Linked DNA regions of Caenorhabditis elegans. The protein of the gene in region 4 interacts with the protein of the main gene of each other region in a biochemical or structural test. Each region holds a gene or a part of one and is shown on either strand. Other genes may lie near its edges.

The links.
Region 1: the proteins of dmsr-1 (region 4) and flp-17 interact in a test that uses a peptide from one of them, tested with the Caenorhabditis elegans proteins (one large-scale study listed by BioGRID).
Region 2: the proteins of dmsr-1 (region 4) and flp-8 interact in a test that uses a peptide from one of them, tested with the Caenorhabditis elegans proteins (one large-scale study listed by BioGRID).
Region 3: the proteins of dmsr-1 (region 4) and flp-2 interact in a test that uses a peptide from one of them, tested with the Caenorhabditis elegans proteins (one large-scale study listed by BioGRID).

What each region holds. Positions count from the first base shown.
Region 1 is NC_003282.8:17,188,035-17,194,949, forward strand, and holds flp-17 (FMRF-Like Peptide), read right to left. Parts: upstream 3,858-6,915; coding exon 3,674-3,857; intron 3,479-3,673; exon of another isoform or gene 3,458-3,478; intron 3,297-3,457; exon of another isoform or gene 3,273-3,296; intron 2,916-3,272; exon of another isoform or gene 2,895-2,915; intron 2,760-2,894; coding exon 2,659-2,759; intron 2,613-2,658; coding exon 2,505-2,612; 3' UTR 2,170-2,504; downstream 1-2,169. Other genes in the region: C52D10.3 (DUF4140 domain-containing protein), read left to right, coding at 309-455, 504-608, 973-1,104, 1,422-1,613.
Region 2 is NC_003284.9:14,878,441-14,884,026, forward strand, and holds flp-8 (FMRF-Like Peptide), read left to right. Parts: upstream 1-2,978; 5' UTR 2,979-3,097; coding exon 3,098-3,220; intron 3,221-3,289; coding exon 3,290-3,423; intron 3,424-3,476; coding exon 3,477-3,627; downstream 3,628-5,586. Other genes in the region: sssh-1 (UPAR/Ly6 domain-containing protein qvr), read left to right, coding at 34-117, 176-279.
Region 3 is NC_003284.9:10,093,930-10,097,148, reverse strand, and holds flp-2 (SPREPIRF-amide), read left to right. Parts: upstream 1-1,924; 5' UTR 1,925-1,993; coding exon 1,994-2,268; intron 2,269-2,474; coding exon 2,475-2,520; 3' UTR 2,521-2,719; downstream 2,720-3,219. Other genes in the region: W07E11.1 (glutamate synthase (NADH)), read right to left, coding at 368-446, 630-782, 1,129-1,401, 1,460-1,615.
Region 4 is NC_003283.11:11,435,263-11,443,318, forward strand, and holds dmsr-1 (G-protein coupled receptor dmsr-1), read left to right. Parts: upstream 1-3,507; 5' UTR 3,508-3,555; coding exon 3,556-3,626; intron 3,627-3,905; coding exon 3,906-4,222; intron 4,223-4,273; coding exon 4,274-4,533; intron 4,534-4,828; coding exon 4,829-5,296; intron 5,297-5,677; coding exon 5,678-5,863; intron 5,864-5,924; coding exon 5,925-6,155; 3' UTR 6,156-6,302; downstream 6,303-8,056. Other genes in the region: F57B7.2 (SCP domain-containing protein), read right to left, coding at 6,874-7,127, 7,404-7,694, 7,742-7,899, 8,052-8,056. UniProt on the Caenorhabditis elegans protein: G-protein coupled receptor.

The DNA.
Region 1 (6,915 bases), on a different chromosome or scaffold from region 4:
AAAAACAATGAAACTTTTTTATTGAAAAATCTAATTTTGAAAAATTATCGTTTTCTGGTAATATATGGAACAAATAACTATTTCTAAAGCAAAAGCACTTTTTTTTAGTTTTGAAACTGTAATTTATTTTGAAAAATTGTTTCGTTAATATTCAAACGTTCGTTTATTTTTGAAAAAAAACTATAAATAGAGAATAAACTGAAAATCATAATTTTATTTATTGTTTTTAATAAAATATTAAAAAGTTGTGAAACAGTAAATTCTAGGAATTGCTGGGTTTTCAAAAATTATAAACAATTATTTTTCAGAGTGAGCTTTCCTGCGCATTCTCCCACGAAACCGTACCTTCTCGTTCAACAAGTGCTTACTTATCAGCTCTGATCACAAATACATCTCAACTTCCACTGCTCCCCGGGGCAGCCGCAGTTTACGTCAATAACTGTTTTGTGACAAAGGTATGTGGGTCTCGCCGCGAAATCTACAGTACCCATTTGTTGTTACAGACCCATTTGAGATTGGTGTCTCCCGGAGAGGAATTTCGGTGTAATATGGGAGTCGATCCGTCGGTGAAAGTTGAATACAAAGCACCAACAGTGACTTATGATCAGGTAAGAAAATTTAGAAAAATTGAAGAAAAAAAAATTACGGTTTCAAATTTTCGTTATTTTCCAAAACGTTTTCGATCAATAATTTTTTAAATAACAAGGTCTTTTCCAAAAAGCTCTTTAATGAAAATAAGATATTTTCAAAATTTTTGAAAATGATGAAAAAATTATTTAAATTCCACTGGTACAATTTTGACATGCGTTTAATATGCGATCTATAATTAAAAATGTTTATGTCATAGTTACTGCTCAAAAAATGGGAAAAATACGTTCTTCTTAATTTTCAAAAAAATTACTGTTTCAAATGTTTGAAAAACCAAAAAAATCTCCAAATTAATTACTCGTAACTTACTATTCATTTTTTCAGGTGGGGTTCATGTCAAAAAGTACCTTAATGACTCACGAGCAGCTGATCAGTGTCCGCAGTGCAAAAGTTCGTCAAAGTGTAAAAATTACGGTAAAGGAGCAGATTCCAAAAAGCCATGATGACAAGATTAAGGTGAGAATTTAAATTTATTTTCATTAGAGCGCAGAAAGTAGATAAAATTTTACAAAATCTGAAAGTTTTAAAATTGAGAAGAAACTACCCCTGCCGCCCCCGCCAAATCCCAACTACCACACCTCATTTCGGTTTTGGAAAATGTTTTGAGCTTCTGTTTCAAAAGAATGAAACTAGGTAACATTTTTCTTGCAATTAGTTAGAAATGTAGTTAGTACAAAAAAGCGGGTTATTGGCGCAGTGGTAGTGTGCTAGGTTGGTGAGCAAGTGACCGAGAGTTCACCCCTTGACCTTGCAGACAATTTTCTCAGTTCCAGGTTTCTATCGTGTCTCCGGAGATCAAAAGCTCGTCTTCCTCCAAGAACTCATCTCCACCAGATGCTCGTCTTAACAAAGACCATAATCTTGAATGGTGTGTCATTTTGGCACCCGGCCAACATCGTCTTCTCCCAGTTCGCTACACAATTGAGCATCCGGCTTCGGAATCGCTTTCCTATAAGTTTAATTAATCATTTTCCCTGATTTATTTATTTTCTGTTTCTGTGTATTGGTCGTATTTTTTGAGTACTAAAAATATTCAATTTGTATCAAATTACCCACATTTCTTCTCTGGTTTTAGTTCTTTCAATTGTTCTGTCTCAAAGATGATAATAAATGTTTTTTTTTGTTCTCGGAAAAATTGAGACTATTAAAGTATTCGTATTTATTTTCTAAGAAAACTACAAAGAAACTATAAAGAAAAGTATATGAAATTATAAAAACAAAGTGAAACAGTAAGTTTTTACTTCTGCATGAAGTTTTCAATGTCAATTGGATCTCCACTATCTTCCTGAATGCCTGAAAACTACATAGTAACCGAAATTTTCAAGGATCACGCGATTTTAAATTTGGACAGGGTCCGTCTCCTAAGGGGTGCGGCCACTTATGCTGAAACCCGGCCGATGAAGGATGCTGCAAACGTTCAACTACACTCTGAAACACACAATTTCACAATCAATTTTCAGCTGCTATTTTTATAAGAATTCATCAAAAAGTTGAAACAACATTTTCCAGCAGTCACCAGTCTAACAAAATAGTCAGTTTTATTCAAATCTCAATTTCAAGCTGATCAAGAAACAGGATTGTGGAGGTTTGGGGTGTCATCGCCACACCGATTGACAAACACATTCAGTCAATTAATAAAAGTTGTCCACACCAAAAAGAAAAAAATTATTAGCCCACGGAGGAAGATTTCTCGGAAAAAAAACTAGAAGGAAAATTCACGAACTGGGAATTTTAACAGGGGGTTGTGAATTTTTGTAAATTTAGAGAAATATTGGTACCCAAGAGAGTAGGAGTTGCTCAAAATGTTGGTTGAAAAAGGAATAAATGGTGGGAATTTGAAAATCAAAAAAAAAAAATTATTTTCCAAAGCGAATGTACTGGCTCTTTCTTTTTTCAGTAATCTGTGGCTCCATTCCGAATGATCTTCCAAATCTGACAAACGCTGATTTACGCTTTTCCATTTCCTGAAAAAAAAAGTTGGAGGCTTACAAAATGGGATTTTTAACATACCATAGCCTCTTCCTCTGGAGCAGATCTCTTTCCGAATCTGACAAAGGCGCTCTTTCTCTTTTGTACCTCTTGAGCTCCGGCTTGCTGTTGATTGTTGATTCCTGAAAGTTAAAAAGTTTTTTTATAAAAGATTCTTTAGTAGAATAGCTCCGGGAATGATGCTGTAAAAAATTTCAAAAAAAAAGTTCACTGTTTCAAATGTTTTGTAACATTTTTCATTTTTAGGGGTCTCACAGTCAATTCTTTTCAATTACCAAATTTATATGCGAAAAAAAGTAGAATTTCAAAATAGAAAATGAAAAAAGGTTCAGAAAAATTAGGTTGAAATTTGACTTTTTCATAGCTTTTTTTCATCGTTTTCTTATTTTATTTGGATGACAGACCCGACCTACATAAATGCTCTAAAAATGCTCTGAGCTCTAAAAAAATGCTCTAAACCTAAAAAAATCTGCGGTGGGATAATATTAATAATTTTAAACAACGAGACATTTTTTTGCTGCTACGAAAAATTTTCAAATGTGACCGAAGTAGTCACGAACTTAAAAAAAAATTCGTTTTATTATTATCATGGTTGTTTTCACGGACTAAAAATTGAAATATTTCTATATTCTCTGAAATGCGACGTTACAGAGTCATCATTAGAATGAGGAAACATTACCATCTTTATGAAAGGCTTGAAACGGTAAAATAAAATTAAGATTCTTCAAGAGAACGTGATAAATTAAAATTAAACGTTAAAATTAATGTTTTTTTCCGTTTTACGAAAACGAGAAATAACGACTTGAGAGTTTGAATTCATTAGTAACGTTTTTCTATAAAACTACCAATAAAAAAGAAAAAAAGTCGAATTTCTATCACTCATGATTTACAATTTTAATATTGTGCTCTAATCCTAAAAAATCTATACTTTTCACAACTATTTTTTTCAAGAAATTTCACATTTTCCATTAAATCTCTCAAACTAGAGGAACTATCGAACAACGTCCAACTAAAAAAAATATTCCAGCCGACTCACCATCTTGCAAAAGATACTGTAACTCGACCAAACTGCCTGTCAGCTCTTCTTTCAGTCGGCACATGTGGAGTGTTGGGAACTTCTCGCAAAACTTTTCCGACTGAATTTCCTCCATTGAAGCGGCCTGGGAGGATCCCGAAATTGTGAGCAACAAACAAGTGGTGAGCACTAGTTTGGAGAGCATCTGGAAAAATAAAGTTTTGCGGAAAATATTTCCACACAGAATTTTTTTAAAGGAAAAAAAATGGAAACACAAAAAAATCATTGAGAAAAAGTAACAGAAAATGTGTGAAAAATGAATGAAAAATCTGAATTTCCCGTGTCAATTTATAGCTATTAGCCCCTTCCTAATGCATTTCCGGCTCCGAATTTCCGATTGAAATCACTGAAAAAACCGAAAAATCTTTCAAAAATTCAGAAAATCCGAATCATTTCCTAATCAATTTGACAAGAAAGCACGGGAAACTTAGAGGCTTCTGAGAAATCGGATACGGTATCCGGAGCTGAGCACGCCTCGTTGAAAACGTGCCGAGAACACGGACGTAAAGGTGGAATGCTCAAGCTCCGCCCAGATTTGGTCTGATGATGTTTTTGGTGAATCAACTTGTCACGAATGTGCTTGCCTACCACATGCCTACTGCCGAAAAATAATTTCTATATTTTTTGATTTAAATCTTTAAAAAGGTGTTGGTAGCTACACTGAGCAAATATCAAAACTCCGAGTTACCGTCGAAATGAAGAAAGGCAATAGTTAGGCATAGAGGCACCAGGTAGGCAGGTAGGTAGATATATGAGTAGCTATCAGGCAGGCGGGAGTGTTAGTAGTGGAATGTCATAAAGCAGGTAAGCAACATAGCGGTAGGCATTATGAAAAATCCCGAAAAATAATTTATTTTGCAAATACCCCCAAGGAAGCAATAAATAATAATTTTTGTAAATACTTTAAAAAAGTTCAAGCCCGCTCCATTTTTCGCAAACTCCGTGATATTTCGGAAAATTATTTCTCAAAATTTGAATGAATGATGGATTAGAAGACGGTTTTCGAACATATATTCAAAGCTAACGTACTGTAATTATTTGGAATATTTTGTGAAGTACGTATTAAAAATTCCGATTAACAAAAAACATTTAATAACTATTCGAAAAATAATAACATTGTCTTTTTCAATAAAAAACGCATTTTGGAAAAAATTAAGCAGTTTTTAGAACCTGATGGATACTTAATTTATATGCTTTCAGTATATAACTTTTTTTTCACAATTTTAAGGCATATTTCGTTTTCCAGTTTGCATAATGAACGAGAGATTATTTGACACTTTTGAAACAAAAAAAAACAAATAAAATTTTTTGTTGAAACCGAATATTTTAAAAATGTTCTGTTACTTGAAACTTATTCCAAATTTTTCGAAACTGTAAACTGTTTTGATACTTTTTTTTGGCCAAGACAGTTCTCTTCTAGAATTTCTAATATAAAACGCTTGGAATATTAACGTTTTCATATTTCCAATGAAACGCTGCCTATTTGTTTTATTTAAAAATTAAAATAAAAACTTTTAAAATCAATCAGAGAAAAAACTACTAAACATACAAGCTGTTTTTTTAATGCTCTTCAATAAATTTAAAAGTAAATTTTCATGAAAAAATGTAAGCTCCGCCCCTTTTTCGGAAATCTCCGAAAAATTTCGGAAAATGCAGAATTGAATGAATGAATGATGGATTAAGAGACATTTTGCCGGTTTTATTTTTGAATTTTTTTTCCTGTTTCAACGAATGCTACAAATATGGCTGGTTATACTGAAACAATAATAATTTGCCAATATAAAAATCACTCGTTGTAACAAGTGTTTCCTAATGTAAGTAAAACATATTTTAAAATAAACCACCTGAAACAGTGATTTTATTTATTTAAACGATTTGTTCCGTTTTATTTGAAATTGATGGATCTATAACATTGAATTCTGTATAAGTTACAAACCTAAATAGATAATGGGAAACAGTAAAATTTTCAAAAGTATGTTCAAATTTTTAGAACTTTGTAAGAATCATTTTTCTACATCCTTGCAGGTTCCGAAAAAAAATCGAGAAATTCAATGAATGATGGTTAAGAAAAAAACCTTCTAAAAATGAAAATTGATTATATGAAACAAAAATATTTTCGTGCACCTTCTCCGAAACGGAAAATTATTGAGAGTTGAAATTCTGTTTGAAAACATTTCGATATTTTATAAAAATGAATCACTTTTCAAAAAAATTTTTTCCTCCGTGTCACCAGATACACAGAGACTACTTTAAGTGTATGATGCAATCTTTGCTGAGAACGATGCGATTTTGCTTACAGTAAATATTTTACTGTTTTACTTTGAGTAATGATTTGTCCAAAACACATTCAAATGAACTTCTAGCAATATTTTAATTTTATAAGCTGTTTATTTAATGTTCCTAGAAATGTGCCTTTTGTGAAAATATCTATTACTTAAAAATTGTTTTTTTTAAATATATATCCGAAAAAAAAAACTCCTGCCTATCCAGCCGTCTTTCTGTGTGCATACGTACCTTACTTAAATCGAATCTTGTGAAACAGAAAATTTTTTAATAAAAAAATGTTTTTTTTTTCAAAATCTTTCAGTTAAGCTCAATATTATATTGTTAAAAATAAGCCCCGCCCCTTTTTTGCAAAGTTCCGAAATTTTTCGGAGAATGATTTTTCCGAATTTGATCGAGAATGATGGATTGGGAGACAAAATGCGAGTTGTGTTTTGTGGGCGTGGCTTAATTGGGAATGATGTTTGAAAATTATGTAAGAATCAAAGATGTAATTGATGAAAAGGGGGATTTTTCAATAAAATCAATATTAAACTTCTATTTCAAAAAAATTTGTTTTAAGCCAAAAGGTTTTGAATTAAATTTCAGATATTCGGGCCAAAATAAACTGTAGTTTGCAGTCAATGACGTCCGAGGGGTCGGTTTTATTGTTTTTTTGTTGGTGAATCCAGATAATTTTTTAAAAAATTAAAAAAATTTTTTATTTAAATTTTTAATTCGTCTAGAAAATTAATCTTCCATTAATAATATGAGGTTGTGAGTAATTTTTAAATTAAATTCTTGAAACAGTAATTTTTAGGATATAAATTCTTTAGATATTAGTTAAAACCCATTTTATTTTAATAAATAGTTCTGAAATTTGGAAAAAATTAGAAAACGGATTTCTATTCTAAAAAAATATTCTAAATATTCTAAAAAAA
Region 2 (5,586 bases), on a different chromosome or scaffold from region 4:
TTGTTTATTTTATTTTCTTTTTACTTATTTTAGGAATCAATCATGTTTGGAGAAGTTGCATACCAAATGCAAAAGAACAAATCCGATCAGACTGTACAAAAATTACTAGTGGAGAAGGTATGTAATATTCAAATTGTTCCATATAATAAAAAAAAAATATATATATAACTTTCAGGAAACCTTGAAGTTTGCACATGCGATGGTAATTTATGCAACAATGACGTCAATTTAAATCTAATACTAATAATTATGTTTTCTGCAGCTGTGTTATTATTATGATGAGTTGTTCATTAAACCTACATATCGGAATCAAATCAAACTTAGATCTCTATTCTTTTCATTTTCCATCGGTTTTATATAGAACTTTTGCCGAAGTATTTTGATTGCATACCAAATAAATGTTTTTACGTTGTTGGAAATGTTTATTAAAATTTAAAGGAACACAGAATAGCCAAAGTGTTTTTAATTTCCAAATTTTTTTTTACTCCTCGAACAGTACCCTTGAACTTCAGCTCGCTATTTTGAATATTCCTGTCACGAAGTCGGTGAATACAAAGATTCACTCGCTCACGACTTATTAATAAATCTAAGGATTTATTAACAAATGATTAAATGTAAAGATTGATTCATTGTTATTACGTAACACTTGCTCTTCAACACTCAACATCATCTCTTCAATCAACGGCAACAACCATGCAGAAGGACGGCGTCAGAAACCCCGATTCAAACTACCGCCAAAAGGACGATTCAAGGCGCATGAGGTCTCGCCACGACACATACAACAACGACTGCGACCGTACTCTTGTCATCATGGCGCAGCGCACATTGGCCTATATCGTCAGTCTTCATCGGTCTTCACCACCGCAGCACGTGCCCGACGGTGGCACGTTTAAATGAATGTTGAGTGTTAGTGATTCAAGGTTTTCCCCTTGAATCACTCGTAATAAATGAGTTAATTAAATAAGAGTCTTTTGTTAGTTCCTATCAGTACCTCATGGGCCGGAAACCACTCCGAAACAATTCCCATAATTTTATTGTTTTCCATTTTCCAGGAAAAAAAACAGTTCTTTGACATTTTCAAGCCAAAAACTATGTGTGTTCCGTCTTAAGACCATGCATTGGAAATTACGTTCGTCACTATTTTTGTGTGTATGTGTTTTGGATTCCTCTTCTCACATTTGCGGTCACAACAGTATCGTTCATCGGTTTTTATGTTGTGATAAAATAGAGAAAAAGTAAAACGAGCATATTTTTGATAGCGGAAGAAAAATTTTGAGATTACATATAACAAAGCGGAAAGTGATTATCAAATGTCAAATTATCAAATAATTTGGAAGCTTTTCAATTCAATATACAGGGTTGATTTTCAATAGGTGGTGCAAGTAAAAAAGAAATACTGTATTTATATTTAAAGATAAATACATTTTGTTTAAACACGTAAATATTGTTTCAAGCTGGCCGCATATCAAAATAAAACCGTACAAAAACTTTCCAGTTTTTCTTAATTTTCAGTCAAGGTTTTAGTAAAATAGCGAGGCGACGAAAATATATAACTTTCCGAGAAGTTCAGAGCAGTTAATAATTATTATCAACTTTTTACAGAATGGTTTACATTTTTTCAACATTAATTATAGTTAAAGGACAATACATTTTTCAAAATATTCACTGTAAATATGAATGAATACTTTTGGAAAATAATCAAAAAGCTGACTGACTACTGTTAAACAATGGCGGAGTGATAAACTAGCAAATTCACTTATTATGCACATAATTATAATGCAGGATAAGATGACTGACTTTCAAGACATTCACTATTTAATGATTAGACTTCCATTTTTGACCATCCCATTTTGACATAAGAACTCCTTGATATTTTGTTCTCTTTGAAAAGTCTTGTTTTACTCTACTTTAAATGAATTCATTTTCGTCATGGACGATCTCTTCAAAAAGTATGTGGGCACCTTTACTTTGAATACACGCAATCTTCACCGTAGTTTCATGTTGCTCGAATGAATATTCAATGATTGGAGGGCAAGATTTATGAAGAGATTGCCGTGAAATCATTTTGCGAGGCGAATCATCGAGGAAGCAACTGATTCGTGATGAATAATTTGCGCGGTGGATAAGTTTTTGGTTTCAAAGTACCCCCCCCCCCCCCCCCCGAGAAGAGGTGGAAAAAAGTTGAAGAATTAGATGAAGGAGAAGTCCAAGTGTTACGTCAACAATTTACAAATGCATAGAGTTGGTATAATTAGTTTCGGAGGGTGTCGGTGGCTAAATTTATCTGTTAGTTACCTCCCAGCATGAATTCCGTGTATTCACTGTGTTCAGTCCCTCGACTGCTCGGTTATACAGCTGATAGATAGACGAGGAAGAAGAAAACACACAAAAACGTAAAGTGGGCCTCTTTAAAAAAATTTAAAAAACAAAATAAGGACACAAAAATATAAATATGCATTGTTTTCATTTTTCAAAACGAGGGTAGCTTCGAGAAATTTCCATTTTCAAATCAAACGAATTGCTACAACAATGTCAAAATGTTAAAATTTTTCTTGGTGGTACTGTATGACTCTAAAGTTTGATCTGGAAAAATTTGTTTTTTCGTAGATAACGTTTCTTACCTAAAAAGCGGTTTTTAACCTGATAGTTGAGATAACCTGGTTTATACAATAAATTTTCAAATGAGATAATTTTTAATAACTTTAAAAAAAAATTTTTTTATATCGTTGGTTTTCGAAACTTGATTTTCAGCAAATTTTTAAAATTTGAATCAACTTGCTCTCAAAGACACGTTTATTGTCTTACGACTTTTAAAACCGGAGTAAATTTAATTTTTCGATGAATCAATTTCAGATAAATCTCAGAACAAGCACTTTACTGTTTCTTACTTGTTTTATGCAATTTACCATTTCAAGTTTTCTATGCCCCCGCGTTCTTTTACCAAACGCCTTCCAGTGGACACTCTAGAATTTCTTCAGCACAAGAAGGCGTGGCCTCTGAAAAGGCGGAGCAAAGTGCGCGGAGCCCAAGTTAGTGGAGAAGACGGACCAGTATATAAGCCACGAGCAGTGCTCAGTCCACACTTTTCAAGTAGAAAATGCTCTCCGGAGTCCTTTTTTCTATTTTTGTACTCGCCATATCGGCCAACGCTAGCTGTGATGTGTCCGCACTGACCACCGAGAATGAGAAGGAACTCGGACTCCGGATTTGCCATCTTGAGGTATGTTGATCATTTTTTTTAGTTTCCAAAGTGGTTTTTTATTCCTGTAAAATCTAAAATGTTTTGCAGGCGGAGATGCAAGTCGTCCAAAGAGCCTTGCAGGAGGTGATGCAGCAGACAGATGTCACACTGTACGATCAAGAAGTTCCGGTGATGAACAAGCGTAAAAACGAGTTTATCCGATTTGGAAAACGCAGTGACGGGTTAGTACATATTTGGTATTTGTCGGTCATTTCAAATATCATTTCTTTCTCAGAATGGAAAAACGAAAGAACGAGTTCATCCGGTTTGGAAAGAGAAAAAATGAGTTCATCCGATTCGGAAGATCCGATAAGGGACTTGGACTCGACGACAACGACGTTTCCAGTGAGTTTTTCGGTTACACCTCTGATGTATTTTATCTGTAAGTGGTTTTGCAGTGGAGAAACGAAAGAACGAATTCATTCGATTCGGGTGATTCGCGTTCAGAGATGGATGTGTGCTTCTTGATGATTTGGGCCAAATTGTGTTCTATACTGATAATGTTTTGTTAGATTTCTTATTCTCCATGCTAATTTTTTTTCTTTTATCTCTGCAAAACGTCAGTTAGAATAAACTTTCATTGTTTTTCTGGTTTTTTTTTCTTTTTTTTTCCATCTTATCTCAATTTTCACAAGACTTGGATATTCACAGGCTTGATGTATGAATTGCATAATATGTCCCAGCCGAATGACCAAATCCGTTTTTTTTCTTTGTATGACCACTCATCGTATTCAAATTTGCTTACAAGTACGCATGATCCCCCTGCGGGCGCGCGCATCAAACAGACGTAAGACCGGTTTTCGAGGAAAAACTGTGTATATCTTTCTATCCGAAATCCTGTGTCATTGAAATATTTCACAATTTGGATACAATTTTCTCGGCCCAAACATGTTGTATAGTCAGTGAGAAGAAGAAAAGTAAATTTTTTGTTGAAATGAGACAACATATTTCATGTTTCGCTAGGCTACGAGAACGTGGGACACTTGTGATTTTTTTTTGCTTGACAAATGATGGGGCCAAGCGATTTCAAGAAGTCTAAACAAGATAATTTTGGCGTCATAGTTTTTGATAGAAGATTTTTTGAAAATTAGAATCAAGATGGTTCTATTGCAGTACATTCAAAAATAGGAGTGGGCTTCAGCCGAGTTTCACGATTGATAGTTCAAGAATTTTCTCTAAATTAAAACACATAACTATACTTTCAGTTCCCACTAAACTGAAATTCTCAATGCTTCAAAACTGCTTACCGTTTTCTACTAAGTTCTTGATAGCTCAGTCGGTAGTGGTGGTCGCTAGCAATCTGGAGGTCACGAGTTCAAGTCCGGCCTCACTCCCTAGGTTCACCCAGCCTCCATTGGCAAGGTGAGCAATCCATAACTGGATTTTCCGCCACAGTCTCCGGCTAGGACGTGGCTTAAATTATAGCCCAGTAGGAGCACCATCAGGCAGTGTACCTGGCTCCTAGATCCGCAGTGCATCGCACTTGAAGAAGGGATCGTCTTTTAATCCTTTAATCCTTTTTTATACCTTAAAACTTTATTTTTACTATCTGCAAAGTAAGTTCATCTCAGATTTTCTAATTAAAAAACCCCTGCTTCGTTGTCGTAATAATGCGTCATCTCAAAGTTATTGAAATTCCGCCACTTTTCTTCTGGATCTCACTTTCCACGGATAAAAAAGAAAGCCGAAACTTTCTTATTCTCATGCCTCGTCACCTCCGAAACTAGTCCGATGACTCAATAATTCGGTGAAGAATGGCTTGCCATAATAAAAAAAAATTGGGCGATATAGTCAACGGCAAAATTTAAATTCAAGGTGTATACTTTAAGCAGAAATACTTGGTCAGTGCAAATTAATTTTCAGTTCACTAAAAATTAGTCAAGCGGAATCTGGTAAACAATTAGGAAAACAAACACTTGAGGACGGAAGATTATCCCTGAAATACTTTTCTTTTATATTGTTGTAAAAATTCTCAAGACGCTTCGAAGAATTTCGGAAATGTTCGCAACACAGGATAAACGAGATGTTGACCAGCTGTGGTGGAGGTATGGGCTATTGCCATTAGTCGCACTTTAGTCGATGATGATGGCAGACAATTACCGTCCTATTGACAGCTAGTTTCTACTGCCCGCCGCTACCGTCACCACGTAATCTGGCCACGCTATTGCTTCTGCACACGATTTTTCTCTCGGAGGAGGAGGAGGAGGAGGAGGACAACTATTTTTTCGTTACTGCTTTATGTTTTGCGAGTTTTACGATTGATCTAAACTTTTCGATTCTTTTTGTTAAATTTTACGAGAAATATAGAAATGTTTAAGTTTGGAAAAAAGTGATTTGTACGAAAT
Region 3 (3,219 bases), on a different chromosome or scaffold from region 4:
TTAATCCAAGACATAAATCAAGTTTCTAATATGACGATATTTATAGTAAAGCTTCGCTGCAATGGCAAATCTAAAAAATAATGTTACACGCAAAACATAATTCTCACTCAATAGTAAATACTGATTATCAATGAAATCCGAATTCCCTAATGATTCCTTTTAAAAGTTATTATTCATTTATTTTTTCTTCATTTCCAAGACACATTTGACGATAGTGACGAACTCAAAACTATCTTTAGCACTTCTCCTAAGTCATTTCCACTCATTCTAGCCACTAATTATCTATCGTCGCCCGCAAAAATTGCAACTTTCTTGAAGATTAGCCCCATCAAAACGTATTTCCTTAACATCCTCATGTTTTTAGTACCTTTCACTCCATATTTGACTGGGTAAGTGATGTCAATTTCCTTTGCTTTCCATCCCTTGTACATAGTTCGTTTGATGACCTGAAATTGCAATACTGAAGATGATAATGATTGATTTGATGCGTCATGAGAAATTCCAACAAGACAAACAAAGGAGGAGTTTGGAGCCAGTTTCAGATAATTGCAAAACTATAAATGCGCTAGCTCTCCTCTGGTTTTTTCATTTGTATGATCTTCTTCCTTGTTTCCCCTTTATGTACCAACCTCCATATCAACCATTGAAAGAACTGGCTGCTCCAAGATGAGCCGACTGGCAAGTTCGGTGTCTGGCTCAAGCATGTTAGACTCAGGTCCAATTGGGCATCTCAACGACATGACGATTTGTTCACGGAAAGGGTCAATTGGTGGGTTGGTGACCTGTAATCAAGTGCTCAATCTGTGTTCACTCTACCAGGAACTTTTCTCACTTTTTAATACATATTTTCATGAACAATTTTTTCTAATTCTTTCACTCGGACGTCATAGTTAAACAAGCTTAGAAATGAAAATACATTTCTCCAAAAAAAGTCGTCGTTCCTCAAAATTACGATTTTGGGCAGTCTTAAGTTTGTTTTTCTAATCAACTACATGGATAGAATAGGAGGAGTATGCGAATGAAGTCAAAACAATTTAATGGCCTCCGACTACTTTTCTAGATTTGAACTTCGAAGAACCGTTGGTTACTCTCTTTACTCATTTTTTCCCATTCTGCTTATGAACCCACCTGGGCGAAGAGTTGCTGGAAATAACTGAACAACAGCGGGCTGTAATCAGACAGACAAGCCAACGCAGCATCATTCCCCATTGACCCGAGAGCTTCCTTCTTCTCCTTGATCATTGGAACTAAGAGCAAGCTGAAAGTGTCATGGGTATAGGCATACAAGGCCAGACGACGGTCAGAGTCTAGATGAACATCCTTTTTCTTCATAAGACCAGGGTTCACCTGCTCCAAATGAAGACGATTAAGGTATTCATTGGTGACGGCACCGTGAGAGAGCTAAAAATTAGTTAAAATTTGTCACAATTCAATTTTTTTTTTGTCTTTTACTACTAACCACATCATCCTTGCGAATCAAGTCCAAGTAGATTCTCGATGCGGAAAGTTGCTTATGAGGTCTTGACAAAGCAATTCTTGTCTTAAGGTCCTCATCGAGCTCGATCTTTTTGAGATGTGTGTCCACAAGGAGCATGCGTCCGGGTTTGAGACGATCCTGTAAAGTACATTGATTATAATTAAAATAACTTATTTATTGCAATTCATTTAATTCCTCTGGAGACTTTTGCGCGTGCTTCACTAGTCTGATCTTTCACGTCTTCACTCAAAATCACCATTTCTACATGATGAGATGTTATTGCGCAACTGCTCTCGCCCAACGCTCTTTGACGCTAGTTCACATTGTAATCCGATCTGTACGAGCTAATGAGCACGCATCACCCACTTTCTCTACATTTCTATCTGCTCTTCGTTTTACTATCTCTTGCCAAAAACGATCTCGTGTGAAAAAGCTCTCCATTTTCAGGTACACACCCGCACACAGAGCTTTCGTCTGACTCATTGTCAGTCGTTGCCAAACCAATTGTCGCAAACCATGCAAGTTTCTGGAATCCTATCTGCTCTTTTCCTCGTCCTTCTCGCCGTCATTGTAAGTCCCTTCCAGTTTGTGCAACCAAAGCGGATACTCCCCATTCCCACTAGTCGGGATCAGTTATTACGTGGCCAACTAGCTTATTTAAAGGGTACTACTGTCGCCCAGCCAGCTGTCAACGACAACACTCTTGGAATTTTCGAAGCTTCAGCAATGGCAAAACGTCTTCGTGGAGAACCCATTCGTTTTGGCAAACGCTCCCCGCGCGAGCCCATTCGGTGAGTATGAGAGATAATTGATGATATGAAGTATATCAAGTAGTTTAAAAGTTTCCGAATTTTTTTCAAAATTTGGAAAAACAACATAAATCAAGCTTAAAACCCAAACACATATTTGGAAACGTCATGTATTCTTACTAGAATCACTTCTTACAAAAATGTTTAATACACTTGCAGATCGATAGAATTTATTTTATTATTTTCAGTTTCGGAAAACGATTCAATCCGCTGCCAGATTACGACTTCCAATAACTCCATCCTATCAATGATTCAATGCACGGTGAACCCCACTACTCAGCCAACATCATATTAGATATTCCAACATTTTCTTCCCATTCTCGTCCTATATTTTGATCCGTACTTTCAATGCAACAACATTTTTTAAACTATGTTTCCTATAACTTCGAATAAAGTGGTTGGGTTCCGCATGGAATAATAGCCCATCTGTTAACCAAGTCTTACGTTTTCTTCGCGAACAAAGGAAACGACTACTGGCACTGAATTTCAGATTTTAGCCAGATTAGGTCAGAAAACGAGGCACACTATTTTCAAGATCAAAATTTTAAAATTCAGTCTTGCTAGTTCTTCAAAGAATTGTTTCGGAAATGTCAATGAGTGCTCATAATTAAACATGTGGAGTGACTTTGGAAGGTGCTAGAATTTCCAAGAAGCTTTGATTTATTAGTTTTCGTTTTAATTTCAAAACACTGTTCAATCTTGAGAACAAGATTAGTTCAACCTACTTAATCATTTCTCGCGTTCTGACAAGTGACGTTTTTGACAAAAAATAATGTTTAATTATTCAAAAACAGAAAATCCCCCCTCCTTAAAGCTCAGTTCATTAATCAGCTTCGCTTCACAAATTCGACAAGGTGGCATCTCAACCAACAGGCACCAATCGGATTCTGTCATTTCTTTCTTTTTTGAGAACAAATGTCTATCTACGTTTTG
Region 4 (8,056 bases):
ACACCATAATGGAGAATTCAGATATATTCAGATTCCGTGTACTTTCAAATCTGTTTTTTTTTCCAGCTACTTCTGATATCATTCAACTGAAAACTTCCTTATTTAGTCAAGCTTCGTGTCTTCAACCCCCTTAACGTATCTTTCTTTCTTTATCTTTAAAAAGTCTGCGGTCGAAGTTGGTTAAACATTGAAGATGTCTGAGTGTTGCGATTTCCGATCTTTCTTTGCAATTCAGAGTTTCATGGAGAGCAAGTTTGCAAGTCTAGTCTTCCGCTTTCGTCATGTCAGTTTCGACATTTCCGTGCCTAACTTTTGGTACTTTCAATTGTGATTCTAAAGGTTCTTACTCAGTACACCACTTCCATCACAACCATCCCCTCAACTACAATTATCCTTCATAGCATTGGCTCTCTTATTCACAACTACCTCACTTCTCTTTTGCTCCATTTTTTCTCACAAAAGCCTCTTCATAATTGGTGGGAAAACTTTTCGTCTATTCTTTACAGAGCTCTTCGAGCATTTTGAGTTGTCACAAGACATATCAGAGATGCTCCTCATATTTCCATTCGCTTTTTTCACTCAAAAATCTTCGTCTCCCGCCTTCTAATTAGTCCGATATAAGAAGAGGATAGAGAAAAATGAATGTGATGATGGTGAAAACGAAGACATTAGGAAATGAAAACACTTTTATTTTTACAATCTGACGTCTCTAATTCAAAGAAAACATGAAGAAGAAGAAGAAGGAGAAGCAAAAAATAAAACTTTCATCGTCTTTGAATATAGGATATGCTGAAGCGGGGGAGAAGCTCTTGCGCCAAGAAACAGAAGCAGGAGCTTTCAACTCGAGTCAAATTTGGCCAATTTTGCTACTTTCAGGCTCGTCTTCTTCGACGTTTTGCTCCGCCTTATTCTATCCAAACTTTTCACTTTCTTTAGTTTTTTTTTTGAAGAACCGAAAAGTTCATTCCAATTTCCGCTTGGGTTGACAAATTCACAAATTCAAATCCAAAGCCCTCCCTCAGCGTTGCTAAACTTTTTTACGAAGTGAATGAAAAGCAGAAACAGGCTTTTGCAAATGAAAGAAGAAGAAAAAGCAGCAAAGCTGTTTCTATCTCTGCTCCACCCCCGATCCTTTCATAATATAATATTTTTAATATTCAAAACCTACGGCTATACAAACGGCAATGGAATTTCAAGATCCATTCCCCCAATCTTGGGAGTAGAGGAGCTGAGCATCCGGCGGCTAGCGAGGTAGCAATAACACTGCATTCCATTTCTTCTTCCTCTCATCCTCCTCCTCCTCGAATTGAATGAATTCAATTGGACGGGCGACTGAATTTATAAAGAAATATGAAAATGAGAAGACGGGGAAAATATGGAATGCAAAAAGAAAAGAATTTCATTGTCCTCATCTCTCTAAGTTTGGTCAGTTTATCCTACGGCTTCTTCTTCTGTCACCTTTTTATGTGCAGAAATAGTTGCGTCATTCGTAAGGTCACATGAAGTTTCGTTTAAGTTAGGCAAAGAGCCCATCCACTGTCACAAATTCGGTTAGCTTCAGAATTTGCATTTTTCTCGGTCTCAACATCCGTCGGTTTTTTTATTTGGCCCCGTACCTTCCATCTTTTTCTCCGAGTTTGATACTTCTTGTGGGTACTTTTTGTACTCTCACTCGTATCATACTTCTTGATAGGTCTTCTCAACTATCAACTTGTTTACAAGTTTGTAATATTTTTAGAATTTTCTGTTCTGTAAATATGTTTACATGTTGTTGGATTTTGATGTTTTAAGTATAAAGGATTTGATTGCATTGTGGAAACTTTTGGCGTTGCATTTTAAAGTTCGACGTCACAAAAAATAATTTTAAAAAGTAAAATAAGAGAAGTTATAATAATCCTTATTTTTCAGCTATTTTTCAATACAATTTAATACACAAAAATGATTTAACAAGCAATATAGGAAAATCCGACCTAACCGGACTTCCATCATTTTCCTTCCCCTAACTCAAAAGTAATTATGCTTAAAATTTTCAATACTTGGGATATGTTTGCCAGTGGAGTTTGATCTTGTACCTTTTACTTTTTTATCGTAACTTCAAACCGAATTCCGGCAAATATTTTCATTTTCAGCATAAACTTTTGTCGTTTTCTTTAATGATAAGTGCGAAAAATTCCTCTGGCACGAGAGTCAGCTCAATGAGTTTTTTTCCTGAAGTGACTCCGGAAATGGGTGCTCACCTGACATGTGGTCACGGATCAACACATGACTAACTTTGGAAATATCTATCCAAACCTTATCCGCTCTGTAATTAGAGTTGGAGCGCGCTAGGCCGCCTCACACACTTCCGAGCGCTGACCGAAATTTGGTTATATTCTGATGTTATTTTTTGTCGGGGAGAGATGCGTTGCACCCCGCTCTGCGTTTATCTGTCCGTGCTCAACATAAAAAAGGTTCTTTTTTTTGAGTAAAAAAGCAACAAATTCCGCCCATGCTTAGATACTGGGCCCATCATGGCGGCGAACGGAAGGACTAGGAAGCGAGGCTTGTTTTGAGTTTCTTTTAGTGATCGAATAGCGGTTGGAAGTAGATACGGATATTGCACATATATATATATATATATATATATATATATATATATATATATGTGTGTGTTTTGAAGTGAAGAGACAGTGAAATAGTGACAAAAAGCTGTTGAGATATCCATTTAGGTTTTTGAATTTTCTATTTTTCAAAATGCGTAACGTTTATGGTTTTTAATGACGTGATGTCTCTCTGAAATAGCGGGCATTTAAAAACAACTCTTCTTCCAAGTGATAGAAAAAGAAATAATTATCAATTTATTTTTCCAAGTGCCTGGAATTTGTGACATTTTCTTTGTAATCGAATACATGCTCAATTGCCGAAATTGTGTAGCGGCAAAAAAATTAATCAAAAAACGAATGTGAATATGAATTTGGTATAGTGCATATCAATTTTTCCGAAAATTTGTGTACTTTTGAATGTATTAATCTTGTTCAGTTTATGCAAATTATTCCTTCTGAAGTTCATTCAAAACTTTTTGGCTCTCTTTTTTCAATTGTACTCTTAATTTTCCCAGTAAAAAAATCATTAAACTTCCTGTGCTATTTTTATTTTTATATTTTCTGATTTTGCAACTCCTTCAATTTCTGAATAATGATTTCTTTAAGGAAGTTTTATCTGCAAGATCTCCCTAATTGGCAATAATTGGTGTTTATCTTAGATTTTTGAGCAAAAGCTTGCAGTATATTTTTGTTAGTTTTTTTGTTCCAAAAAAACACACTCACCCTATTATTTGAGTGTTTTTGTTTTAAAAAGTGAATGAGCAATGTGTTGCCAAATCTTTGTCCCTTTTGTCATTTTTTTCATAGTCATCTCTCATTTCTAATGACGTTTTCCGGTTTTCCGAATCGGAGCCGTTTTTCATTTGAACGCTTGTTTTCCTCATTTTCAACGTTTCAATATTAATAAATTGTTGTTTTTTTTCAGATGTTCAAATAGAATCAGAAACAATAGAACAGAGGAACAGCAAACAAAATGGAGTTTACCGAATGCAAAACTACATTTATTCATCTGCCCGATAAAAGTTTTTTATACGATGTTTTTGTGTAAGTTTTACTTTTGTGTCTCAAAAATCTTTCAAATAATTGCCCAGTACTGTTGTATTTGACGTATTTTCAAAAAGTACAGTTTATCATCATTAAAAGTTATCCTATTATTTGTAGAAATCATCCCTAAAAATAGCGAATAAAACCAAGTTATTGAAGAAGGTTATCTTATCTTAAATTATTGTGTCCTCAAAAGTGATGACCATAAAAAAGAGAGCCATTAATAAATATTTCAAGAGCAAAAGTGGAAAAAAGTGAAATTAAACGTTTTTTTTTCAGAAGTGTATATAATTTCTACCATCCTATACATGCCTACTTATCAATATTTCTATGCGTGTTGGGTACAATCGCTAATTTCTGTAACATCGTCGTACTAACGAGACGAACAATGCGAACGCCAGTTAATATGATTTTGACAGCAATGGCATCTTGTGATACAGTTGTGTTATTTTCAAATTTAATATACACAACACATTACTCATTTGTCGCTTTCAAGTTTTGTCATCCGAAACATTGGTCCTACTCTTGGGCGTTATTTTTAATTGCTCATGCTCATCTTTCATTAGTTGCACATTCTTCAAGTGTTTGGTTGTCAGGTAAGCTTTTCATTCTGAAGACAACTGTCCAACTCTTCGATTTTATTGCAGTTATGCTTGCACTTGTTCGATATGTAACACTTCGAAGTAGGGGAAATATGGGTGGTATGCAAGTGACGTTAAGGCATTCTTATTATGCCGTTGCTGTTACTGTATCCCTTGTAGCAGTGCTTAATGCACCGAATTTTCTGAATTACAAAATCAATGAACAGCCATTGAATGAAACGTGTACCGATTTGGATCCAATGTTCTGGAATTCGCCCGCGTATCTTCCTGGAATTGCAGACATTGCAAAAGCAAACAGCTGTCTGGTAAGATTTTTGAATTTCAGTAAAAAAAAAACAAGATTTTTGTTAAAAAATAATGTTTGACAAATTGTATACAAACAAAATTTCTCGAAAAACTTTTTTATTGGAACTTAGATTTATAAACTAAAAATTTTGGCAAGATCATCATAATATAACTTTGAAGCTTTGGATTTATATAAACCTTTTTGGAAATAATTGATCGATCATATGTACATATGATATCATGAAAATTATACAAAATAATATTTATCATCGTGATCGTCACCCTAGCAAAAACCAATTTCCTAATTTCCTGCAGGTCTTCCGGTTATCTTATTGGATATCCGGTATGGTATTCAAAGTATTACCATGTGCGCTTCTATCGTTGTTTGTTTGGCTCCTTTTACGAATTCTTCGTGAAGTGCGTGAGAATCGTCAACGTCTTCTCAAGAACTCGCAACATCGACCACCGAATCAAACGACTACTCGAAACGGACAAAGACTGAGCATTTCAGTTGCAGGCAACGAGAAATTAGGCAGAAATGGAAGCTTACGGGGGAGAGGAGAACGTGTCGATCGGACAACTCATATGTTATTGGCAATTGTAGCAGTTATGCTAGTGACTGAATTACCTCAAGGAATTATGGCTGTCTTGTCTGGAATGTGTTCTGAAGAATTCCGAATTTACATTTATAACAATCTGGGAGACATTCTCGATTTGTTCTCACTTTGCGGTTCATGTTGTTCATTCATCATTTACTGCTCAATGAGTGGACAGTTCAGAAATGTAAGTTTTGATATTACTTGAAAAAAATTTCAATGAGCGACATCTTTTCAAAATACCTCAATGAAAAATGTGTTGTATGCTGTTAGAAAATACTACAAACTTTCTCAACATTCGGTGGAACTTTCCAAGCGAATTTGTCTTTTTTTTCTTTGTTTTCTTACTAACATGATGTTCGGCAGCGTCTTAAAATGCGCTTAAGATCTCTACATTTTCCGACAATTGCGGAGTTGTTTTTACAAGAAAAATCATGGAAGTACATACTTTGCTCATTTTATGAATGTGTGTTTAGTTCATTTTAACACAGGGAACAAGCATTTTCATTTGATTTCTATAAATAAAAATTGGTTCATTTTCAATATAGAAAAATCATAAAATTTTTAGGAATTCCACCGTGTCTTTGTACCTGCAAAGGTGAGATGTCTCCGAATGTCATCGCCGTCGATTCGTCGTCCATCCGACGCCTACAGTACCACAAAAATGACTTTTCTAAAACCAAACGAGAAAAACGGAAATGGAATGAATGGAAATGGCACTTATTCGGAAGATACAAGGTCAGCAAGTGTTAAAGTAAGAATATCAACACATGTTTTTTCTACAAAACTTTTGAATAAGCCATGTTAATTTTCAGATGGTCGGAATCCAGGTACGAAGAAACAGTACGGAAATAACGAGAATGACTGGATGTGATTCAATTACTCCATGTTCTCCAATGCCAACATCATTTCCATCATCCCCACTTCCACCGATTCGAAGTGGAGAAGATGAATCCACTGATGAGACATCACATCTACTTAACAGCTCAGGACCCAACTCAACAGCCAGTGCTGATGGAATTCGTGGACACTTTCAAAACATTTGATATCAGAATTTTTTAAACACACAAATTGCAACACGTGTCAGAACAAAACCATTAGTATTTACCATATTCACGGGTTTCTATTTCAATTTTCTGATTACGTTGATTTCTTCTTAAGCGTGTCCTATTAATGAATCTTGTTTTTTATTAGTAACATACTTTTTTTTTAAATCTTTAAACTTTTCAGAATTGAAAAAAAAAATAAAGTAATTGTTCAGAAATTAAAATTCTTTCAATTTGCATATTGAGGTTATTGATTTATGTATATGACAACCTTTTATGAATGAAAATTGCAGAATTGGGAATATTGTATCCTCGGAGAACTTCAAACTAGCTCCCATAGTAGGTAGACATAGATTGATTTTCATAAGCATTTTTCTGGTTTAAATGAATTTTTTATCATGCCATCACAAAAATATTGATGGCAAACATGACAGTCGTATGTCACCGTGTAATTAAAACACTTACTTAAAAAGGATAATCTTCCAACTTGTAAAAATGTTTCGGCATAGCAATCTTTTATTTGTCAATGGAAAGTAATAGCTAGAGATCAATTAACCGACAAAGTTACCGGGTGCCGAAATGAAAGAGAAAAAAACAGAAAAGCTGACTATAATGAAAGCATCAAGTGGGGGAGAAAAGTAGAAGAAAACGCACAACCCGTTTCGGAATGTTCTTTTTCGGTTTCTGGCTACACAAATTGAAAAAAATAAACTAGTAGCTACTTGGAAACAACAGCTCTTTCTGGTGTTGAGATCGTGACGTGGCGTTTTAGTTGAGTTCCCAAGTTTCGAATTGGTGACATTGAACAATCTCTGGATGGAACATTTGAAGCAAATTCTCCGGGTGCATTTGAATTTCCCGCTGGACGATAAAAGCAGACAACAGCTACACAATTATTTGCTGTGTTCCAATACCGTGCAGCGCCAAGTTCTGTTGTATCTTTCCAAACAACTTGTGAAAATCGTTGACATTCTGAAATTAGAGACACTTATGAAATTGACTCGGACCAAGAGTAAGCTAAGATTTTAGTTCTTGTCTAAATATTATTTTTTAGTTGATTATGTTTTGAATGGGAAGTTGGCAGCCTTTGGGACAGCAAGAATTATGCGAATTTTTGAATAATATTTTGTTTATTTGTTAGCCTTATTTTGTTTATTTGTTAGCCAGTTCTGCTGATACAAAATGAAAATTTCAAATTTTGCCCAACTCAACCTATTCGAAATTAAGAAGCAAACTTCAAAAACTAACTTGGATTCCATCGCGGTTTGTCGAAATCAAAGAACTGTGCTTCTTTTTCCCATTCTTGAATAACTTCTTGTCCAGTTGGTAAATGTGACTGTTCATTTGCCTCTTTCAAAATTAAATTCTCTCCAATTCCAGGCAACTCTGGATACAATACTCTCCCTCTATCTGCCAACTTCACGGCCCACGCATGAGCCATTTCAGCCAATTCGGTTGACCAACAAAGATTCTCGTTTCCGTATCTTTGCCTGCACTCATTATGAGCATCTAGGCAAGATCGTTGAAAATTCACTTCGCCTGAATACATATTTTTATTAAACTGAAATGATTTTTAGAAAACTCACTAAGGGCAGTGTATTTGCTATGTTTGATCATGTATTTAACGTCAGTAATTGTTTGCATCATATGCTTGTCTAATTGAGCGTCAAAATTTTTCCGTGATTCTTCCCCAATTGATGAGCAAACTGCTTCATAGTCATCTCCGTATGAGTTTGAGACATTGCTGCAAATTGGTTTTTTTTTAAATTAATGTTAATTTAAATTGAACTAAAAGTTTTAAAATTAGTTAATATGAAAAAGTGGCTATATTTCAACGAAATTGTTTCCTACGAAATATTTTTTTTTCAAATAAATCATTTAGAAATACATCCTTACTTTAC